Linked DNA regions of Lepisosteus oculatus. The protein of the gene in region 1 interacts with the protein of each later gene in a pairwise test. Links are inferred from orthologs where the notes say so. Each region holds a gene or a part of one and is shown in the gene's direction. Other genes may lie near its edges. The genes, in order: plin1 and abhd5a.

Evidence for each region.
Region 2: the proteins of plin1 (region 1) and abhd5a interact in a protein complementation assay, tested with the Homo sapiens proteins (3 studies listed by BioGRID, with this or other methods). The link is inferred for Lepisosteus oculatus from reciprocal best matches to the Homo sapiens genes PLIN1 and ABHD5.

Annotation. Positions count from the first base shown.
Region 1 is NC_090700.1:52,665,025-52,677,252, forward strand, and holds the start of plin1 (perilipin-1), read left to right. Parts: upstream 1-6,238; 5' UTR 6,239-6,357; intron 6,358-7,116; 5' UTR 7,117-7,130; coding exon 7,131-7,175; intron 7,176-7,579; coding exon 7,580-7,778; intron 7,779-12,228. Other genes in the region: pex11a (peroxisomal membrane protein 11A), read left to right, coding at 875-990, 1,876-2,444. UniProt on the Homo sapiens protein: Modulator of adipocyte lipid metabolism. Coats lipid storage droplets to protect them from breakdown by hormone-sensitive lipase (HSL). Its absence may result in leanness. Plays a role in unilocular lipid droplet formation by activating CIDEC.
Region 2 is NC_090705.1:42,881,339-42,893,852, reverse strand, and holds the start of abhd5a (1-acylglycerol-3-phosphate O-acyltransferase ABHD5), read left to right. Parts: upstream 1-7,622; 5' UTR 7,623-7,660; coding exon 7,661-7,692; intron 7,693-10,520; coding exon 10,521-10,601; intron 10,602-12,514. Other genes in the region: ano10a (anoctamin-10), read right to left, coding at 811-945, 1,391-1,588, 1,889-2,034, 4,506-4,612. UniProt on the Homo sapiens protein: Coenzyme A-dependent lysophosphatidic acid acyltransferase that catalyzes the transfer of an acyl group on a lysophosphatidic acid.

The DNA of each region.
Region 1 (12,228 bases):
TTTAAGTTACGTAGTCGATTTAAATCATTTACAGAAATGCGATCTCGCCCGACTTTCCCACTAGGAGTAGGATGATCTAGAATTCCTATTCCTTCAAATTCAAACGGAGAGAGATGATCGACAATCGGCGTGCTCCACAATATTATCACCATGTTTTAGTTTATTTTTAATCACTGTGTGTATTGGTGGTTGACCAATTCAGCGTTTATTTTTCCCGCATGAACGCAGGTGCATAAAGATGTAGTTTCTTTCTCTTTTTTACTAAGAAATCTAGCATTGGATAAAAGTTTTCTTTTTCAGAATCCCCAATAAAAAGACTGGTGTAACAATAGCAAGAACAAGATGATGTTACTTGGAGGTTTAAATTTGTATTGTATTTTCATTTCCCATCTTATAGAGCACATTTTGCCGCTTGTTGTAAATTTCAGCTCATAAAGAATTAATATCTACACGATCTAAGCCTGTTTCAATACTTTAAAAAAATATATTTAAACATCAGAAATACAAAAAAGGAGACAATATTAAAACAGTTACAGAAATAGACGCTTCACAGCCAGAGGAATTCACAAGGATAAAAGCTGAAGATTAAGGTTTTTACATATTTCCATTATATGTCTTGCCTTTTGATTCTTTAAATGTCTAATAGAATTCAAATAAAAAAAGGAATTCTATCTTATAAGCATTAATAGAGGGAGCAGTATTAGACCATTTACTTTTGTGGATGAAGTATTTCGCCAAAATAATGAGCAGCTAAATAATAAAAACAAATACTTTATCCCAATCAGGTCTAACAAAATAGAAAATAATATCAAACTCTGTTTCAGTACTCCTGCTGGAAGACGCTCTTGAAAGTGCAGTATGTGCTTCCTTTCAGAGCTACGCAGTACGCATGCGCCTTGCTGAAGTATTTGATACGAAATAAGGCCGCAAGGGCAGAATTAGCAAGAAAGCTGGACAACCTGGAAAAGAATATGAGCGCAGGGAGGAAATGTAAGTACCTGCTCCTGTGACAAACACACCCAGCAGTCAAGTGCTTCTGAATAAAGCAGCTATAATTACAAAGGGGGGTTGCAGGTTCTGACTGATTTACTTTGCATGTGGATCATATATTTCCATTGTGTTGGGGTGCTGTGTGCTCTTCCATTGTGTGCTTCTCAAAGGAGTTGCACATACAGCACCGGGGATTGGAGTCTTCCTGTCGCCCCACATACCAGGCAGTGTTCAAAGACTACCGCGATAAAGGATACCCCTAATCTTGGAGGGGTGGAGGGGGGTTTGTCTTTAATCTGTCTTTGAGCAGTGTCTTCCTTCTGGCTTCTTGAACCTTCACATCTCTGCATAATCAAGGAACCTCCACCAGTAGCAGGTGGCTGGTGTTTTAGAGCTGTGACTCGCTGTCCACACTGGAGGACCGATTTCTAACTGCTTCTCCCAGTCCAGCATGGCGGGGGAGCCCCAGTCTGTCCCAGCAAGCAGCAGGGCAGGGTATTGTATACCCTTGACGAGCTGCCCTTCGATCACAGACACAGACATGGACCCACTCACACTGGGTTCAGTTCTTCCAGAGGCCAGTTAAATTACCAGCGTGTTTGTGGGGGGGGGGAGGGAATTGCAAACACTGGCAGAACATGCAAACTCCATGCAGATAGTGCCCCAAGTCCAGAATTGAACCCAACACCCCAGAGCTGCAAGGCAGCAATGCTGACCACTGCAACGCTGCATAGCTTGGACGCACGACTGTCTTGTGTCATAACTGAAAAAGTGAACGTTCCATTTTAATCGGGGTTCGCCTTCTTTTCCTGAGCAAGACAACGGGAAAGGAGCCGTTTCTCACAGAACCCTCAGAGTTGTGCCTGTGCCTGCTTCCTCCTGCAGTGTTCAGGCTGGGGAACACCGTGAGCTCTGTGCATGCAGCCAGGCGGACTCTGCAGCTCTCCGATCCCGTCCTGCGCGCCTGCCTGGCCGCGGCCCACCTGAGCCGCGCGCTGTACTTCATCTGCGATAACCTGCTGTGGGCCAGGAGCCTCGGGTTCCTCCAGCACCTCGACAAGGAGCGCTGGGGCCTGCTCGCCTCGCGCTTCTACCTCGTCTCCCTGCTCCTGAACCTGGCGCGGGACCTGTACCAGATCTCCCGCATCATGGGACGCAGAGCCCGGGATAAGCAGGTCCAGGAGAAAATCAGCCGGCACCTCGGCAGCAACGGGGACGTGGCGTGCATGGTGGTCCCGAAGCTCGACGCCTTTCTGCTGCTCCTCTGCGAGAGCCTCCGGAGCCACCCCCCCCTGCTCCTGGACACGGTGAAGAACGTCTGCGACCTCTTCATCCCAATGGACAGCCTCCGCATATACAAGACCAACCCGGGGGTGGTGGGGTTTTGTGGGCTGGCCTCCTCGGTTTTGGGAATACTCTCAGTCCTGCAGCCAAGCTTGAAAGTGAAACCGTAGCTGTGCGCCGGCGGAGGGGACAAGGTGGCTGGTGGTGCGAGAGAGATTGCTGAGCGCTTTGGTGCTGCGGCTTGAGCTGCAGAGGTTTATGGGTAGTGATCACTAACAATCCTAATGCTGTTTGCTGACTTTCTGTAGTCGGGGGGTGCTGATCTTGCTCCATAGGGGGTATTACTCCTTCACTGGCAGGGAGCAAATTAGCACCTGTTCGCAAGAGGAAACCGTGCTGCCAGTGCAAGTGTGGGGTTTTCCCTTATATAAAGGGGGTTAATCATAAAAAGAGAGGATTAAGAATTCAATCTGGAAAAGAATACTAATGTCAACCTAATTTCAGTTTCTTATTATTTATAATTTTTGAAAGGGATGCACGTCTGGGAGATTGTAATGAGAGGACCACAGAGCGACAGAACACTTCACTTAGTATGAGGAGAAGAACTATCTACTCTGTGCTGTTGAAAATTCTGCTGTCTGCTTAATTGAAACAACATCACATTCATAAGTGAAAGAAAGAATTCAAAGATTAAGTTTAATGACAATATTTTCTTGAAAATATGATTATTCCATAAAGCAAATATCTTTCAATCCACTACCTGGTATGATGTTGGCTAAATCAAGGAAGCACTGTATTTTTTCTACCTACTTACAGAGACTTGTCTGTGTTAATGAGGTAGATATTGAATGCACACACCTGCTTCTACTGCCAGCTGTTAGTACTATTCCTACCTCACACCCATTTGGTACCAGAACTTGTTCTCTAGTTAAATTATTTCTTTCTAGTCATTCCTACAAATTATGTTAACCAATAGAAAAACTGTTCTTGATTAATAATATTGTAGCGCTTTCGGGTTCACGTGGGTATGCATCCTCGCCGCTGACGCCTCAAGTCGGCCCCCCACCGCTGGGGGCTCGAACCTGGGCCTCTGGAGTCACTCAACAGGGACCCAGCCGGCTTAGCTAAAGGGAGATCTCCCCTCAGCTCAGCGGCTGAGGTCCCTGCTATTCACAGGGAAGGGCGGTGACATCACTGCGCTGGCAACCGGCTTGCACAACCTGTAATGTTGGCCGTATGCGTTACAGTATATAGAGTATGTTCAACTAAATTATATTGAGATCTAGCAAGCAGATACCATTGATTTGTATATGGTTGTGTTTAACAAAATTAACAATGAGAATGAAAAAGATTTACCTTCAAAATAACATATAAAGCCTTCCTTTTTATTGTAACAATTGAGATTTTGTAGTTCTGAGAACTTTTTGTAAGTTCTCTGCAAACAGTCTTGAAGCTCCCGTTTTTGAAAAATGTAGAGTCGAGGCATCCCTTAAAACAAGGAAGTGTTAGAATCAACCCTTAGCCTTTATAAAAATTACAAAGTATAATTATGTGTATTGGGAAGTGCTGTATGTCATACGATGACAAAAGTAAACTGCACACGCACATGTAATAAATACATAGGGCTACAAATGTATTAAATGTTCATGATGGCACTTGTTTCTATGCTGTTTTTTATCTTTCTATATTAATAGAAATGGTACACTTTAATTCTACTGTACAACAGACCCTTTTGAAATAAACAATTACTTTTTTTAATTTCACCAGGTTGAAAATATTTAAATGTTTCTTTAATCAGAATAGAGAAAGATATTTGCCAAATGAAAATGGATGGATCAACAATTCTGTTTTGTTCGATTTCTGTTTAAACAGCTGTGACCCTTAACAGAGATGAACTTTGGTTTAAAGACAGCAGATCCTCATTTTAAAAGCTACTATATACTCTGTGATATTGTATCATCTTTATATAGCATATCTTTTTGGAGTTTTAGAATTGCAGCTATTCTAACTAAAATAAGAAATAAGCTGCTTTATGGATACATTTACATCTTTTGAAACCGATGCTGTGGAGGATGCAAATGAAGGAGGAGAGCAGTTTCAAAGTCAGTTCCACTTGATTCAAGTCCAGACACAGAAAGAAGAAGCTGTTTGTTGTAGATACTGTACCCAGCTTCGTTGTTAGGGGACTGGTCAATCCCGAGTTGCAGACAGAATGTCCTCTGTGACACCGAGCTTGTACGAATGTTTGACTCGGATTCAGGATTTCAAAATGATCCTTCAGGATTGCACAAAAAATCACCTTTCACCCAGATTGTTAGGATTTGCTCACAGACTACATGAGTAGAGAGAAATCTGGGGCTTATTGAAGAACAAAGACTAACACTGTAATTTGACATAGTTGTAACTGCACTGGTCATGAACCTATTGTTTTTCTGCCAACATACATTAATTGGCCAAAATACTATGAATCCGTATTAAAATGGAGAGACTATAACAGGCAATCCACAGCTGGCTTGAGGAGCATGAAAAATATTTCCAGAATCTTGCCTAGCCTGAAGAATCCCTCCATCTCAATTAAATTGAAAATAGTTCAAGTAGGTGGCTGCATCAGCATGCGTAAGCTGCAAAGGAACAGGTAACAGGTTTATTCCATGCTGAAAAGAAGGGTGAGCCACACCTGAAGAAGGCTCTGAAGCCGAAACGTTGTTTCCTTTTCTTTTCTTTTCAGCATGGAATAAACCCGTTACAAAGTGAAAAATGGTGGAGCAATGCAGTTCGAACCCAAACATAGGAATTTCCCACACTGGATGGTGGTCTCTTTTTGTTGAGAAATCACTCTTGGTAAGAGCTATTTTAGCCCGAAGGTGAGAAGTCTCCCTTTGTTTCCGGGGACACCTGAACAGTCTCCGGAGATCTCTGGAGGTCCACAAACTCCTGCTGTAGGCCATTGCCTTCGTGAAGAGGATCCAGATAGACAAATTGATAGGTTTGGATAACAGTGGCTCAAAACATTATTGGGTGGGAATTACTAAGATTTTGACCAGTGGGTTAAGTTCTTGTTAGACTAACAAAACCTGCTTCAAATACATTAAGTCTTTATCATTCTGTTATGCTAAATTTAATTAATTTGTTATTACTATTGTAATCCTTTTCTCTTAATTTATTACCCAACAATAACCCAACATACACTTTGCTTGAACAGCTAGGTCTTATAGCCAATTTTCCCCTGACTTCGAGCACTCACTATTTACTATACACTATTGACTAAACTGAGCCGTAGTAGAGCCAACGCGAAAAACAACATTTTTTGTCCCTAATTCATACCTTGTGTGTAGCAAAAAGTCTTACTTGGGCCTAAACTACATCATAAAACACTTGTAAAAACCTTACCGAAAACTTTAGTCGTAGCCCAAATGTTAGATTGTAGAGCCACTCCGAACACTAGGCTCTTCTAAACGCGTGATCAGGAATGTGCAATTATGTTTTAATTAGAAAGCACAGTGCACTATCAGTGCTTCACGAACTGAGTATACCATGTCAAATTTGAATAGTATTTTCGCGGTTTTCCTATGGTTTCTATTATACCATTAATTAACTGTATTTACGTTTTCCCCGGTGTCCCACTTGTCGTAGTGAGCATTAACCATAACTCTGGGTTTTAGGTGTTTAATCCTGGTATCACTGCGATTTGCAGTCGTATGTATATGTAATAAAAACTTTAATCACTATTTAGAAATGACATTCCGAGTTGTACAGTTTTGGCATCATAGCCACTGAATCGCAGAGACACTGTCCCAAATCCTAAGTAAGCTAAGGGTTTTAGGAAAATGTTCTAGAGAAGAGGGAAAAAAAACGTGATATCCTTAATGCATGAGTTATTTGAGCATCACACATTAAGTCATTACATCTCTACGAGCCTTTAAAAACCCCTGCTTTCCAGCGCGGAGGAAGTGCTGGACAGGTCTGGACCGATGTGGGCGGGGAATGACAGCTGGTATCTATTTGCCCGAGGCCCCTCCGCTCAGTCCTTTCCCCAGAGGAGCCGAGTGGCGGACACAGTGAGCGCTGCGCCTTCAGGCTAGAGTGAGTATTACTATAGCACCGGCCGGGAAGCATCAGGACTGCACCGCTGTTGTGACAGATAACGTTTTCGGGATTCCGAGGGCTCAGAAGACAAGAGGGCACAAATGAAGCTGATGCCAAGCCCTTCCATGTGCCACCAAGTTCGCCACTTAAAAATGCGTAGTTATGGTGCTTGATTTCGCAAGTGTTTACTGCGGGTTTGGTTTATAAGTTTTACGTAGTTGCAACACCAGTGAAACTGGTCGAAATTCGGAGCCACGCAAAACGGCGTTTTTACAGCACTCAGCAGGAGGGGTACAATGAAGAAAAATATCTTAATTGTAGCATATTTATACGTTTTTTTCGACTACGGACTGAAACAAAATCTGTTAATGCAAGCCGTGTGTATCATACGGGTATCCTAGCTTCATGAGCGGTGCAGTGTTAGTATGAGATTATTTGTATTTTTCTGATGCTTTTTGTAATTCTTTTCATTCATGATATTAGATGTGGCACGGCTCTGTTTTCCAAATTAAAGTCTTCTTTCAGTTGTTTGCTTTTCTTGACCCGCTTGCCTGGAATATGACTGATACGAAGTTGTTGGTTGCGTGTGTTAGTTTGTGGGCTATTCTATTTGAAACGGTTAATCTGGGAAACTTCACTCTGGGAACTCATTTTCGGAGACGATCTGGCAGATACCTTGATTGTTATCCGCCACCTCCTGACAGTTTATCTCTTGACTGTTCACTGGAGAATCCCAGTTTCTGTTTCTATTGACAGGCTGAACTTCCACAATGGCTACAGAGAAGACAGTGCCTGCTCCACCTGAGAGCACAGAGGTACAGAAAAGCATTCTGAAAAAATCGTTTTTTTGTTTTCACAGAATACACCAAAAATACTAAAACAATGACTGCCTTTGGAATGATGACTGAATGCAAATACTTTACAAATACAGCAAGTACAAATACTGCCAGATCTTCCTAACTTCTCCTTCACAAAAGTAATGGTCCGTTTGTGAAAAGTTAGGGTTGCTTGTTAGCTTCCTATGAAGTCCTTTAAGGAGCACTGCTGCCTGTTAAAAAGCACACATGAAATTAAAATGTTTAAAGGAGAAATTGATTTTCGTGTGCCAAGGAGGTAACTTCTAAATTCATCTGCTTGGATGATGAAAACAATACGAAAGGAAAAGGGGAAAAGGGAAACTGTTCAGGGCAGTGACTGCTGGCTCTGACCCCCCTCGCAGGAGAGCGTGCTGGCCCGGCTCCTGGCCCTGCCGGTGGTCGACGGCACGTTCGCTGTCATCGAGAGGGCCTACAGCAGCACCAAGCACGTGCACCCTGTCGTCTGCTCCGTCTGCGAAGTGTACGAGACGGGCGCCAAGGTGGCCACCAGCCTGGCCGTGCTGAGCATCCAGCCTGCCATCCACAGACTGGAGCCGCAGAGTGAGTACGCCTTCGCCCCGTGGATCTCCAGTTTCCACTGTGCGCCCGCTACGCTAGACTACGATAAGTGCAATGGAACAAGTAAAGGTTTATTCCATGCTGAAAAGAGAGGAAAAGAAACCCAACGTTTCAGGTGTGGAGCCTTCTTCGGGTGTAGAAGAAGCACCCCTGAAGAAGGCTCCACAGCTGAACCTTTGTTTCTTTCCTTCTCTTTTCAGCATGGAATAAACCTTTACTTGTTCCATTGCGGCCTACGGCTGCTGAGGCAGCTGCCCACTTGAGCTACGGTAAATGCAGTTTATAATGAACGTTCAGGATGGAGGACACAGCCGAGTTCGATCAGCCTCAGCTGTCAGTAATTCGCCATCAGTTCTGATGTAACTTCTTCACTTAAACATTAAAAATGATGTAATCCCCTTCTCTCCCTCGCATAAGTCTATCGCATCCCTCCTTCAGCTCGTCGCCACCTCTGCAGCTGCCCTTGGTCTCTCCTCTCGCTTCCAGCCTCCTCGTCAGGCCAGGAGGTCAGCCCTCAGCCAAGGGGTTAAGACAAATTTTATTGTGACCGGTGCAATCCATAAACCTTTCAGTATACTGAATTCCTGGCTGCTGTTATTCCTAGTGAATTAGTTGCAGGGCAGTAGTCTGTATTTATAAGGGCAGTGCCTTTCTTCCTTGTTTTTGTTGCCATATGAAACAATTGTAGAGGTGTGAAGTGTGTATTCAAGGCTACAAGCACACAGTCAGACAGCCACTGCGCAGGTTATTGGTCTGTGCTGGGATTCCAGAGAGTTAATTCAAGCTTTATTAATGACACCAGGGGAGATTTGTCCAACACAACATGACCATCACCACCAAAAAAAGAGGTCAGGACAAAACAAAATGTCAGGAACATGTCCTGTGAAAGCTGTGATTAAAATTCATATTTTTATACATTATTTTAAAGTGTAATTGCAGAGGGGAGCAACAGTTACGCAGATACTGTACATTTCTGTGCACAGAGGCGTCTTCCAGATGGAAGTGAGATCAGCACTGTCTGGATCTCTGTGTCTGTGTGGAGCTGTTATGCTCTCTTGGTGTTTTCAGGGAGTGTGGGTGGGTACTTCAGGTCCCTTCCACCTGGTTAGTTTTAGATTATCAGCTGTTATCCGGTGGAGGGCCTGATCCAGACGCCTGCTAGCCTTCAATAGACCCCTGAGCTCGTAGAGTGCATTTAGACCAATCTGATTTACCCCAGTGATTCTGCTGTTTATGTTCGCTATTTTCCCCGAACCCATTACGGTTTGCAGTACTGATACTAACAAACCAAGAGGAAAAACAGCACATATTGTATAAGATGCATTCTGTAAAAGATTTAGAGCAAAGCTCTGAAATACTCCCACTTTAAGTAGCTAAGCTTACTCAGAAAAAATCTCTGCCTTAGGTGAGGTGCCAAACTATGTTTAGTGTAATAATTGAAATATCAAAGATATACATATGTACACCCCACACACACAAGAGAATAAGGAGGTTCTTGGTAATGTGGCTATCCTCTGATATCTCTGTCATTCAGACATTTCCAGGTTGTCCTTTGAGACCTGACACTGCTGTTAATTGTATTATACCAAGTTGTGCTGTTCTTCTCAGTAATGTCAACACCTTTTTTTCTCCATTTCTATTTTATTTCTCAATTTTTCCATCTTTCCGTGCAAGTTTTGTGGCATACAGTGAGCCAGTACCAGCTGAAAATGTTAACAGCCCTGCTTTCAGAGCTCCAGTTCTGTTGATTTTAGAAAGCTGAAAGGTAAAGCTAAGTAATTTTAGAAAGCTGAAAAACACGCTGTGAAAGAAATGAATTTAAAAAATAAACTTAGAATGAGTTTCTCAACATGATATTTACACTTTTTTAAGTTTGAAAGTAGCATTAGTGTTTTTTGTTTTCAGTAAAAATTTTGTTTTGGAAGTTTCCATGTCAGCAACGGCCCACACAGTAGTCTGTTGACTTGTGCTGCCGTCTCTTGGATCATGCTATTTCTGAGTTCTCTCTTTGTTTGTGTGGATTATTAACAGGTCCTCAAATTTCCTTCCACTTGATTAGTTGTGATTGGCTGTTATTACTGGTCCCTCACCCTCTGGTCCTGTGATCAGAGGACCAGAGGAGACGGGGGGAGACTGTCCACCTGTCTGGAGAATGCCTCTTGTCTACTCAGTTCTGCCTAGTGCCCTTGTGTTAGTGGGATAAGCTCTGCCTGGCCTGAGCATCTCTAGCATTACCGACTTTGTGATCGTGGAATAACATGTGCTCCTGCCAGTGTGCTAATAAACCTACCATTCATAGAGCAGCAGCAGCTCTGCACAGGAATGGGATAAATGTCAGTGTTATTATTCATTTGTGGATGCAAAAGACCCCCACTTTAGAAAAAAATAAAGTTTCAGTTGGTTACAGACCAACACGGCCAAACATTTACAATGCTTTTCATATTTAAAGTTTTACAGCTCTTCTTTTTACACATCACCCAACTTTTTGTTGAAATGTACCCGGGCACAGCTCTGTGTACACCATTTTGGCATTACTATTGACTTTGAATGACACATTGATCTAAACATGTGCGTAAGCATTTATTAATTTTCCATTCTGTCTTGCTTAAGTAAAATCCCAGACTGGTTACACTATTACTCAATAAAAGTGCATTGTTTTCTTTTCCATTTTATTTTGCCTTGGCTGATCATTGCCAATGTCTAGACAGAACCGCCTAGGCTACCCAAGACTTACTGCAACTGCGTGTGACAGTAAATACATGAGATGCACTTCTCTCAGGATTCAGTTCCAGGCAGCAGGGCACTAAGACTCAAGGTCAGGGTAAGCCTAGGGGAGAGACGGGCGTTGTCTGAGAGCCTGTGATGATGTGGAAGGTTGTGGATAGAGAGCTTTGATTACTAAAGGAAATTGAAAATAATTGGTTATTTTGCCCTAACCTAACCCTTGATTGGACCACATCAGAACTGATCAGATAGACAAAGCAGTGGAAATCTGTTATTTCAGTTTATCTTCAGATCTATGTACAAAAGAGAATCTGGAAACAGGCTACCAACCTGGACTGATTTCAACCGGTCCAAGCTGGCACACAAATAGACCTGATCACCTGTCAAATAAACGGGACAAACCAGAAAGACACGAGAATAGGACAAATCTGTAGTTTCAAAATGGTTTGGTCTATGTTCAAGCTTTGCAACTTACAGAAGGTTGAAAAGTTTGTACAGATGTATGAAATCTATTTTTACCGGACCTGCTCAGAAATTGTTAAAGGTGAAAATGTATTATTTTTTTAAGAGGTTTATTTGCATACAATTTACATTATAGAATTCCTCAAATTATTTTTGCACCTCAGATTTTAATATTGTTTTTTAATATCTTATTTTAATATTGTAAAAAAATAAAATAATAACACATAAGGACACATCCAAATGCTTTCAGAACTGATCAAGCATATAGTTGCAACATGAAAATTTAAATTTTCTTTGCTTGTTTTGCAAAATAAGAAGTTAATATTTAGCGACCTGTGTGGTGATGTGCTTTTTCTCCCCCTGTGTCCTTTTTGTGCTGCTTCCCTGATTCCCTGATTTCAATAAGTCTTTGCCAGCTTGTACAAACGTGCCTCTGGAAGCTTTTGAAAGAAAAGAACAGAGAAAGAGAGATTTAGGCACTTAGAACTTTCAGCTTCTCCTTAATGGCCCTGAATAAAAGACATCAGAGCAAATTTGTTCCATTTTAATGGTAATTTAAGTTTTCTTAAAGCTCCATGTCTATATATTTTTGTAGCACATACCGTAACCAACAACTTACTGTAGGGAGAACTTGAAGAATATCAGGAGCATAATGTATGTGATGTTGTACACAGGGGCAGTTTCGGATTGAGTAATTTTACCTAAGATCTAAAGTCCACATTGAACAGCTGAATTTTACACTTATGCTTCTTATATTGTTGCATCAAACATCTTGTGACATTTGCTGTGATCAACAGAGCTACAGATGGCAAAGTAGTTTATAGAAGCTGGATCTGCCTCATTGTGAGACTTCAGATGTGAGTGGATGATATTCTAAGGTTCATTAGTTACCAGAAAAAAATAAGCAGGATAACTCATCTGGCATCCTTTTGTGTACAACACTTCTGAGGCTCTTATTGTCCTACTTTCAGTATGTGACCCTTTTAAAATATAAGACTGTCAACATTAGCTTCTTACACCCAAAGACATGGATCCTGACCTACTTGGCATATCAGATGTGATATATCCAGTTTATGAATGGAGTTTCTAACAGAAGATCAGGAGGAAGGTTAGATCCCAATCTCGCACACTTCCACTTACCTACGTATATAAGTTTTCATGTATCTGACTCAAAAGCCACCCCCCCCCCCCCGCCTCCCCATCTACACCCTTGCAGCCGCTCCCTGGCTCTTTCCTCACAATATTG
Region 2 (12,514 bases), on another chromosome or scaffold:
TTTTAGATCAGTTTAGGAGATTGTGTTCTGCTCTTTTAGTTTTTTTTTAAACCGAATTTTTAACTGCCAGTATTTCCTATAAATCATGGCTGTTTTCTTTAGAATTTGATGGAATTTTTCAGTTTGCTTTGTTAACAGAGCTGGCAACTACACGCTTATGACTGAGTCAAAGAGGCTGACATTATTCTCCATATTTTATATGAATGCTGGATTTTGTAGTGTCCAACAAAATGTTTGGCTGAAAACTTAATGGCAATCTAGCCAGTTTCAAACAATCTTGGAACTGCTCAAGTTTAAAGCACAGATGGAAAGACACAAACTGGACGTGAAATGCAGCTGCAAGAGATGCTTGTGTGGACCAGTAGGTGAATCTTGTTCCTCAGGATCAGGATTCCCAAGCCAGTACCTCAGTTTGGTGACCAAAAACAACATCATAGGAAGAGCTTCCCTTCAGATGAGGCATTAAGCCAGAGTCTTGACTACTTGTCACTGATCATGAAAGACTGAAGGGTACAAGTGGAGGTGCTAGCCCTGGTGTGCTGTTTGCGTGGGGTTTGCACTGTGTCCTCCCTGGTTTTCCAAGTCATTCCTCAGTTCTCTACTGGTGTGTTGTGCGGTGAAGCTGCTGGTGCAGAAGGGCTCCACCCAGCAGGTGCTGTACTTCAGTGGCACAAGAAGTGTCTCCTCCCAGACATGTAAAACACTGTGCGATATTCTGGGGCGAAAAGCACTAAACAAGTGCAAGGAATATTATTAAGCACTCCCCCCACATCTCTAAAGAAGACAAAGAGCTCTGTGACTAGCACTTACAGATTGACTTTCCTGGGTACAGCTTCACTTTCGCATAGCCTGGGACACTGTTCTCTTCCTTGGCTCTCAGAGTATCCAGCTCATGCTTAATAATGTACTGACACTCCGCCACACTGAGGAACTCATCACTGTCACCTGCAGAAAAACAACGACAGTCTTTAACGTCTACAAGTATAGAATCCGTGCATACAAAGACAACATTTGATTTTAGACAACATAAAAAGGCTATTTGGTTGATCTAGCCCTTTTGGAATCCAAGGGTCTCATCCAGCTGCGTTATTGCCTGTGTTTAATAACAAGACTGCCTGGCATTAAGAAATGCCTCCTGTTCTCAGTCTCCACCTGGGGACTTGTGTTCTGCAGTTTCACTATTGATTCTGAAGACGCCCACTGGAACCTCGTTCAGTGATTCTGAAAACCCGGATCAGGTCCTGTCGCAGACCTATCGGCTGAAGACTACCGATATTTAGTTTGAACATAATATTGAACAACACCGTGACTGCTCTAACCTAACTGTCGAACTAGTCCACTTATCTGAAATACCGTCCTCAATCACACTGATGTGCGCCGATGCCCTTACCCTTGAAATCTTTAAAATTGTTCCTGTTAACAAACGTAAATCCTCGCATCGACCCGTCGTTGCTTTCCTTCACCAGGCCGACGTCCTCGGCGCCACTCAGCAGCCTGTCTCTGGAGGCCCCCACGACAAACACGTTGGGGTTCCCTCCGCCGTCGCCCCAGCCATCCTTCGGCAGCCGCCCCACCAGCAGCTCCGCCCCTTCGAGAGAATCACTGTCAGCCAGCGCGGGCCCAGCCGGCGACCGACACCGAACAAATGGCGGGCCCCGACACGCAGAGAGACGCGTCCACGCGGCACTCCTGTCCAGTACAGGCCGATCCCAGAAACGGGCGAAAACAGGTCAGGCCAAAAGATAAGTTTGTCAGCTAAAAACATAACCCCAGAAAGCATAACAACCGACTGAGACAGAAACAGCACATGACTGGCTCCCTGTGTAATTGGAAGCTTCCACAGGATAGAGAAGAGGAAGACATGAACACCAGTGTCTGCACTTCTTACCTCCATTCTCCTGCTTGTCCCGTATCTTCTCAAGTAGCCAAGTCACAGCTTCTTCTTTGGTGTCCTCGACCAGTTCAAGGACCACCAATGGAGTGAATGAGACGCCATCACTGGGAGAATTCGACAAGCCTCTTTTCATTTCCAGGCTTCCTGAACAACACAACAGGGGAAACTCACACAAACTGCCGGCAAGACAGGTGGTTTGGTCTGGGAGACTTGGCAGGACTGTTAAATTGTTAAATTGATACCATTAGGGGGGTCTTACTTATGGGGTGGTCACCCCAAGAACAAGAGCTGGGGGAGTCCCAGTGACCAAAGGGAGGGCGAACACATTTGAATAAGAACTGTTTCCAGATAGCTGCTCCTCCCTAAACAAAATGAGCTATTCCAAACTGCACTTGGAGATTTCTAACTTACACACAGTATACAGAGCACATGTGTTGTACCTTGATGCCAGTTTAACCACTGTCTTGTGACTTCTCCTGACCTTACTGGTCACCCCTGCCTTGGGTGAGAGAAGACTTTCGAGCTCAAATCGCATCACAACCTAAGACCGGCAGTATCACAGGACTGTCTGATGAACAGAGAAGCGCTCTTCCTCTGTATCCTCATGGCCCTTGAGTGAATCCCTCAATCTCTCGCTCTCTCTCTCCAGGACTAGCTCTTCCCCCTGTTCTCCTGAAGGGCAACAATCCCAAGTGAGGCTGGAGCTACTTCTCCTGCCTGCCATTCTGCGCCCAATCACGCCGCGGGGTGACAAGCCGCCCCAATCTGTACATGCAGGCCGGCACGCCCAAACAGACGAACTACTGTAGGCAGTCGCCGAGAGCATCGAGTAAAATAGTTTAAAAACATTTTTTTTAATTAAAAACTCAAAGAGACAAATAAAAAAAGACGATATATTTATTTCAATATAGGTGCGTAAGGGATTTCTGAGTGTTACCTAATGACTCAAACGCACTTACAAGACTGTTAGATATGAACTTCAGTTTCAGCGCGTCGTGACTGCCCAGCGAAGGGGCCTGTGTCACAGCCATGGAGCCAGGGAGATCCCAGGAGAGCGTCTTTCAGGATTATAATCCAGAGAGCGAGAACCTTTGAGTGCTGTTGAACCTTGGCTGTACGTGACCAGTATAGTGATGAACTTTTCTTTTTTATAACTGGCATGTGCGTGCGACAGAATGCCTAAAAGATGCTTTCGTCATTTAATTTGTCAGGATATATTTGACAATATCGTCACGATTTGAAGAGGTCACAGAATTGAAAACGAGGTAGAAATCTAGCTGTTTCCCGAGGTGTGGGCGGGCTGCGGGGGACAGGGGGTCGAAAGACATCTTCTTCTCTGGTCAATCACAACTGAAGAACAGACGTCTGACTCACAGAGAGACACATAAAAAAAGACACAAAATGACACGGGGGAGAGAAAGGTCACAGAGCAGAAATGGAGAAAGGAAGAGGGAATTCACAGACGGAAACAGAGGCAGTAGGGGAGTGGACCTTGTTCTGTTCTTGATTTGGTGATGGGTTTTAAATCAGGTAGATTGAGTCCCTTTGAATATTGGACATCCGGGATCATAGGGAGAGGGAATTAACACTGGGCTGTAGTCGGCAGGGTATTATTATAAACTAATATGCTCTTCAACAGCATTGTAACCATTTTGGATGTTTCCTTCTGTCTCTGTAATTAGCTAGAATCGTAATATCTCAGTAAAGTTATTTTTTACCGAACACTACTGGATAGGTTTGTGTCCTCTAAGATTAATATTGAATTTTAGACTGCTCTTTCCCTAGTTAGCCGTTTAAAAACAGGGCCATTGATTTTTTAATTTACTGATCCTCAAAATTAAGTAACAATTGGAACCTGAATTTTGAAAAAAGATACACTTAAAGCCTTTTCCTAGTGCAACACTGTTCATATCATATTCAGTACATTATGTTTTGTTCTATGTCTTTGTGCAATAAAAAGGCTTCTTTGCGTTTATATATGAAATGAAATATATCAACAACTCTCGATCTAAAACTAGATTAGTAACCGAGGTTATGCTTATCACAATTCTCCAAATAAAAATAAGCACTGAAGAAATAAACTGCGTGAAACTCTCAGTGTAGTTTCAAATGAAGACTGTCATGCCTTTACATCTTGATATTTTAAATTGAGACCAAACATTATATTTTAATAATTCAATATTATACAAAGCGCTGTTTATTAATCAACTCACAATACGGGGGACATGCAAGATACCCGAATCTGCTGCTAGTAACTGCATGGACTTGTTTCAGGGCGGAGTTTTCCTAAATTGTACCTTATAACTTGCCGTAGAGACACATATGTGTAAAACATTCAGAAGATATCAAGCCTAGATAGTTACTGACAGCCACAAACCTTCTTTGCGTCCTGACCCCATTATAGCACGTAAACACTCAATGTCGAGACGTAGGCCCCGTGTTTGAGTAAATGTCAGCTGTCATTGCTTGAGAAGACTTACCCGTTCCCAGATTTTTCTTCCAGGTCTGCGATAAGGAAATGATTACAGAGTAATAAAATGTGACCACTGTATCAGTGTTTGTTACAATGAGACGGACGGGCTACTTCCCGGCTGTTGTGCTCGGCTCTTACCGAGCTCTGCTTGGTGGTGCGCCCTGCTGCTTCTCCACGTCACCGTGCGCCGAGCCGGGCGGAGGCGCAGCAGAAGAGCTGGTCCAGTCACTCACACACACACACATCCACCCAGCCTGCCTGCAGCGCCCGGACCGCAGCTCAGCAGCTCAGCAGCTCGGAGGGAAATCCTGCACCGCAGTTGACACGCTAGTGACTTCCTTTCCGAAAACGTGCTGAAGGTGGTTGCAGAGTAATGTCCCCGTATGTGAATAATAAGGCGGGCCAACGCTGGCTCTGTTTGGGGGTCAGGAATTCGTTCTAAAAGCGTTTTAAAGAGGATTGTTCATGTTTGTGAAAGATGAACTGGGTTTGCATATTTTCTGGCAAGACTGGACTAAGACAACTTTATCTACCTGCCAAGAACTGAAGCTGGTTTAAGAGTCTGTCCTGGAAAGTTGTACACATTTTATTTCAGTTTTTTTTTGTAATAAAAAAGAAAAATAATGCCTGCAGTTTACAAGTATAGCAAAAATAACATCATGTGATCTTCTTCTTTACCTTGCATTCCTGTGTTGGGAGAGTTTTTGTTTCTTCTTCGGTTAAAGAGAGAGTCAATTTCTCTCTTTAAAAAGTCCAGACCGCCTGCCCTGGCTCATCCTGCAGTCATGTGAGGGTGTTGTTGTAAAACGGGTCTGAAACATCGACATTATTTCATAACTGGAAATACGTTGCTCAATGGATTTATCTAGATGTAATGCCCGCTCACAAGACATGTTTTTGTGGTCTGGGTGAACAGTGATTTATTGAAATCTCCGTAGCTGTATTGCAGTGTTAAGGTAGCCATTGGCAGTGAGCAGTGTAGAACAATTTTAAGAAATGTTTGTTCTCAATCATGGAGCAGAGAAGTAATATTCTGAAGCCAAAATATTTCTATAAATGTAAAACTAGATTTTTTTATTTCAATCTGACTTTTTCCATCAGTTTTACCAACACATTATACTCTATTTCTGAAACAAAACCTGCAAAAAACATCGTTTTCACAATTTCAGCGGAGGCTAATGACATAAATGCTCATTATGCATAATTAGCACCGACTCTACAGTAGGGTTGTAGGGAACGGTATAGTGGGGTAGTATTTTGTGTGTTCCTAGTTCTTCTGTGTTTAGTAAATAAACATACTGCGTTCTAAACCTAGAGCAGCCTGCAGACAAGGATCCCACTGCCAATGTAACCGGATTTTCTGTTCCTATTTTCCATCTGAGGATAAACGTTTCATATTATTTCATATTAATATATAAAGTATACAGTACTTTGGATACTGTACTATACACAGAATATACTCCCCCCCTTTGAACCCATATATAGCTACAAAGACCATGTGGGACCTGGTCACTGCCTTTATCCTGTATATTTAAGTGCACTTGTCCGTCCTGTCCGTTCTGCGGCGATGAGAGTTGTTCCACCTTAAATGCTGCTGCAGTGACGTTATGCCGCCTTTCGCCTGTAGATGGCTCTCTTCGGTCATTTTTAAATACTAATCCGGATGGACTACTGTACATATCCTCAGTAAAGGGCAATATGTAAGTAAACGGTGACTGTCCAAATTGCATTTTTGTGTGAAACACATGTCAGAAAATCGAAAACCAACGTTCAAAACTCACAATAACACAAACTGGCGTGTTAGACAACGAGTTAATAAGGCAAAGGCAAAACGTGAATTCGCTGTCACTTTCTGCATATTTACCACGACCTTGCCTTCTGATCATTATTAGTCTCAAAATCTTGCATTTTACAAGAAATTTGAATATGGCCGTTTTAAATGGGATATTTAGAACATGGCATATGAGAATATACGGTTAACCCAGGACGAGCAAAGGGGGATCGCACTTTCTGCTTATTGCTATGAACCTACCTCCTGGTTATAAACACGTCTCCAAATTCTGAAACTCAGATGTGAGAAACAATGGAACAGACATTCAAAAATCCTGAACTTCAGGAAATGTTACTGTTCCGTTTTTTAAATAAGACCCTCTGAACATGGCATGAGAGAATGGATGGGCAAATGGTGATTGCATTTTCTGCTGTCTCGCTGTGGCCCTCCCTCCTGATTATAAACTCGTTTCACAAAGCTGACACCAAGGTGTGAGAGACAATGTAACTGACTTTCAAAATCCTGAACTTCAGGGAATTTCACTGAATTTTTAATATGAGCCTGTGAACATGGCATGTGAGGATTTATAATCAACAAAATAGCACACCTTCTGCTTATTTGCTTCGTCCCTCTTTCCTCATCACCAAAACATCTCAATATTCAGACACTAAGGTAAGAGAGACAAAATCACTCATAGTAATAAGCAGAAAGTGCAATCACCTTTTCTTAGTGCAAGTTCGTGTTATTGTGAGTTTTTAAAACTGGTTTGCGCGATTTCCTGAACTAGAACTATATTCCATAGAAAGATGCAATTTGGACAGGACAGTCACTATTTATTTGGATATTCCCTTTCACTGAATACTACAGTATTCCAACCGGATTAGTACTGACCGAAAAGAGTCATGTACTGGCGAAAGGCGACATAACATCACTGCAGCAGCATTGAAAATGGAACGAGAAACCTGAGGCAGACATCTAGGTCCCTGGCCTTCACTGGCCTCACGCTTTCTGAACGCAGGAACGTGAAGGCTGGGCGCGCCCCATCTTGATTTACCTCAACTCGTCTTTTCTTTTTTTCGCACAATGCACCTGTGTTGAGTACCCCTGATGATCTTTATATGTACTCTGGCTTGTGTTGTGTGTATTTTTCTTGTTTCGTTTGTTATTGCAATAAAAAAGATTTTTTAAAAAAGGGAAAATAACAAACAAACCAATGCTTATGTTTATTCACGTACACCCCTGTGAGGGGCGGTCGCAGCGGGTCCTCCCGCTTCCGCAAGCACGGAAGACAAGGCTGCGTGATCATCCTGCTTCTGTGCTGAGTCTGCATTGCTCTGATGGGGAGAGGAGGGCCAGGCTGGGGAGCGTCCCGCCCAACCGCACGAAAGACGCCCGGCTAGATGGCAGGTCACCCCTCGCCTGCTCTCCCGGAGAGCGTACGCGCCGCCCCCGCCCCCTCCCTGGCCCCGCCCCCCGCTGTGACGCGGCGAGGTGACGTCACTGCAGGTCGGCGCTGGGAAAGATGGCCGAAGAGGCGATGTCAGTGGAGAGAGGGTGAGTGCGGTGTGTTTATTTTGGTTAACAATTCGGGAGCCTTCACTTTTGAGTGCGATGGCCCTTTCGGGTGTTTCAGAATCTCGAACTTAACCAACAGCGGGTGAAAGCGAGAACTGTTTGGGATGTCGAATCGCTTGCCGCTTCTGTGATGCGTATTGGGACTGTTCATCTCCGGGACCTTGGGTTGTGAAACTTGACAGCGTGCAATAACAGCAGCAAACTTACTGTACATCTTCACGTGTCAGTGTATCAATGCTTTGACTAACGAGAAGTGGAGCTAACTGGGTGCATGTTTACTTGCGGTTTGTATTCACCCGCTGCTGTGTTACTAGCCTGATGCGGTATGTGTGTGTCCCTACTCTGCCAGTTGCACTGATGTCTGAACTAAGTGATGGGTGACACTACTGACCGTTTATATGCTGTTTTAATGTCTGTATTCAAGAGAGGTATATTGAACAGGATCATAGGTCGTGGTATCGGAACGGGCTCTCCGTGTCTGGCTTTGTGAAGTTCGCCTGCTGGGCTGCATTAGAGCCTGGAAATTAAGCAAGAGCTCTCAGCAGCCGCCCGCTGTTACCAAACACGTTTCCTGCACAGACCCACACAGCTGCTAGTTGTATGAGGTTAAGTAGTCACTTTTTACCAAATGCTGTGGTCAGTGCTTTCAAAAATTACATTTCCTGTATTGTTGTGCGACGTTGTAGCCCAATCACATTATACAGTCATGATAGAGACCCCCGTTGTATATTTCAGTCACATTTGCACAAAGTTAATTGGAAAAAATCATTTTTTTCAGAACATGAAGTCGACTGCACCTAATTTTTGAAATCAGTGCCTAATTAAAATGACATATGGTATTCCCCTTTTCCATATCAGAATCTCATAAAAAAATACTGGGACAGCAAATCCCAGTATCAGTGATCCGAAGCATTAGGGCACAATCCCTGTGGGTAGACTTCAGAGTGGAAAAGGCAGTATGATGTTGAGGGAATAACTACATGGAGTCTGCAACCCACTGAGCTCTGCCTTGGTTGTTGACCATATGTTTTGGGACGTTATGAAACCGCCTGGTGAAGTGCTATCCCCTGGAATGGAAACTTTTTCGCTACGTAAGCAGACAATGTTTCGTAGGCTGCAGAAAACAGTGCTACTGCCAGCGTTACTTCCTTAACACAGTCGAGAGGCACTTCCAGAGGTGGCCATGCGTGTGTCTGTTCATCCGATCGGATTCGGGCGTGAGGATCGGGGAATGTCCCGGCCTGGGTAGGTAGTGAGTGGCTATCTCTGGACCTGCCTCACTATCACAGGTACAGATTGCTGGACTGTCGATCGGTCACATGTTTGGAAACATACTTTTGGAAGACACCACACGCTTCATTCAACACATTTATTTTGATCTTGTCTCAGCCCCGTTCAGAAAATGAAGTAGCTGTACAAAGGTTTGGAAATCATGAAGTGTTAGTACTACTGCTCTGCAAATTAGCTGTTGGAGTAAAAGGGACTTCATGTTGGGGCGTTTTTCTTTTACACTGCAAGCAGGTGTGAGTAGTGTATAAATTCCACTGTGGATGATTTTAATTAGAAGTCAGGAGTATTAACTGGTTAAATTCATCTGAGAGAGTCTGTAGTTAAATACTTGTGAATTACATTATATTCAGGTTTATGTATGGCAAGTTACAATGTAAGTAACTGTATAAGTAGCTACGTTTTAGTGCATTTGTAACCGTTAATTAATTGGATATATACTGGCCATGCTGGGTTAGGTCAAGTTATAGTTACAGCGTTACACTACACATTTTCAAAAGCATTAAAAATCCTTTATTGCAATTATTGAATGGTTCAAGGGGGACACACGTGCCTGCATTTATTTGCTGTGTTTTCTTGGAATTAGAGGATCTTTAACGGTTGAGTGTAATTTGTGAGAAAAATGATACGAAAAGTGCAACACAAAATCAGGACTTTTCACTGTGTTTGCTTTCCTGTCTTGAGGGGAAGCAGCAGAATACTATATCTGCAGTTATAAGATCACCAGAAGGTTTTTGTTGTTTTGAAATCAATGCAGTGTTTTCACGAACAGTGTCTGCATTCCCTGCTGCGCACAAGTCATTCTTAAAAATGTCAACTACCTGACATCACATTCAAGAGTCCAGCACAGCTCCCTCTGGAAAGTATAGGGATGTGTGAGTCTTGATGTTGTAAGTGAATGAATTCAGTTAAACCAAGAGTTGCCAATTCTGATCCTTCAGAGCTTCATGATGATGGCATTTTCATTTTCTGCTCCATGCTAAACTCCTTCATTTAATCATTTACTTGCAGAATGTGATGTAAGGGTTAACAAGAAAATTGACCCAAGATCTCAGAAATTGGTGATTTAAGGGTAATCCATATACATCTGATGTTAAGTGGCTCCCCAGGGTTAGGGTTAACTACTCCTGGCCTTCAGTTGTTTAATAGTTGAGATTCTTAATATGTTGCACAGATGCTGATAGTAACTGTGCTTCTGTCTTGAAATCCCAAACACATGGCTGAAATTCGTGTTCCCCCACAGTCTCAGTTTGTGTTCTTTACCTGTGTGTGTCCCATGCTGTTGGCCATCAAGTGCAGAATAGTACTGCACAAGCAGAATAAGAGGCTCATTCCTCTTGTGTTTGCGAGCACTTGTAGGTAAAAAGGTGTTATCATGTGAATATAAAATGTATGACAAGTTCACCGGGCATAAAAAATCTACATAAATGTTGTACTGGGATTCGTCTTTAACAGTGACAAAATTCAGGGCACAATATTGTGTTCAAATGAATGAAAGACATCTTTTTCTTTTACTTCAGAACTGCCCATCGAGTTGTGATGAATCTTGGTATTCATATTCTGTACTACAAATTCTTGAGGTTCCTGGAATCTACCTCAAGGTAACAAACTCACCTACCGTATTGCATGATTTCTGGCTTGTGATTAATACTACTAATAAAGAGAATAACTGACTGCATTCATTGTGACAAACTCTGCCTGGCCATTTCACAGCGTGACATTATATCAAGACAAGGTTTATATCTCATGGCACAGCGATTGCTGCCATTTATAAGTAAATTCACAAACCACTTTACATTAATTGACTGAGAGAAAAAAAACAATCAGTTAAACTGGCTTATCACTCAACCTTAACTGCCCATGGAACCCAATTTGATATTCAGTTCTTTAGTAGATATAGGCTTCTCTCTTTACTGTGGGTTCAGTTCACTGCCATTGCCATCTTATTATGGCAGAGTAACACATACAGGCTTAGTGTGCAACCTCTTTTTTTAAGTTGCTCATTCACTTTAATTGATTTATGTCATGTGTGGAAAAAGAGTTGCACTTTTATAAAAGTACAGACAGTTTGCATCAGTCAGGTTGAAAATGAGCCTTTTCTCTCCTGTCACTTCTGTTTGTGTCCCACGTTTGGAAAGTGGCAATTTCACTGCATTGTTAAAGAAATCTCAAGAGCTTCTTGCACTGTTGTTAAGGTATTGTAATGTATGTGGGTAAAGCATGTGTTATGAACAGTCTGTTGTTTTAATGTGAAGGCACAGTGAGGTGAAGAGGTTAATGTGTGTTGAAGAGCTTACCTAAACGGCAGTTGTGTTTGTGTTTTCCCTTCCTGTGACCATCTGTACTTTCAATACATAGATTACACTCAAGTGAAAAATCTGTTAGAAATGTCTGCTGCATTGTATCAAAATCTTTATGAGGGACATCCTGCTGTTCAGAACTATTTGAGGAAGACACGATAAATAGGCAAGAATCAATTAGTCACAGGTCACTGGACTGCAACAAGACAGTGCAAAGTAAACATACCTCTCTGAGGTTTTGAGCGATAATCAATGTTGTTTTGCTCCGAGCCTCTGCATTTCTGTTCCAAGGTGAAGGGTCTGACGGCAGTTGATTTAGAAACTCAATTGCTTCCCTTTTGAAAAGACCCAGCAGTTTTATGGGACAAACATTTACCTGGAAGGTTCCAGAAGAGCCAACAAAGGCCTGTGACAGTAGGGTTTTACACCATGGTCTCCACTTTAGACTGATCTGAATGGGGAATAGATGGAGTCAAAAGCAAAACTAAAAAAAGGAAGCACTTTTTGTTTTATGGCTTATTTGCACAGCCACAAGGTATGGCAGGAAGATGTATTTTTAAATACATGTTTTGTCATAAAATATTTCGAAATTACATGTGCTGTTAAACAAACCATGCAGCTGGTCCTGTAACCCCCAGAAATGTCTTCTGAAGAACCACTTCCTGAACACGTGCAGTGTACTTGACTACTGTGAATCAAAAGCTCTCTGTGATGTATCCCTATAGCACCTGTTATCAGTGTCTGCCCTGCATACTGTGCCACTGTCTGCCATTTAAGCAGCTGCTCACACTGTATCACCTCCAGCAATTGATATGGATTTGATCACCTTACCAATGAAGAGGTGAGAGTGGGGAGCTGAGAGTTGTAAGGGAACAAGAAGTTAATTCCACGCCGAAAAGTAAAGGGTAAAATACAAAGTTTCAGCTCTTCCTCAGCATATCGTCTCTAGCCGTGTGTAGATAAGAAAGAACAGAGATAGTTCCTCGTCTTACTTAGCTTTGCTTACTCTCTTATTAAACAAGCTAGAAAACAGCTTGAGACCTTGAAATTAAAATTACTTTCCGCATTACTGATTCCTTTTTTTTAGATATTTTATCCTGCAATCTGTTTTCATAAACAATTCAAAATAGCTAGGTGCAGCTTAGGACGTACAGTGTGTGGAGTCGCAGAGATCTGTGCTGACTGTAGTTGGGGTGATTGGTTTCTTGTCATCT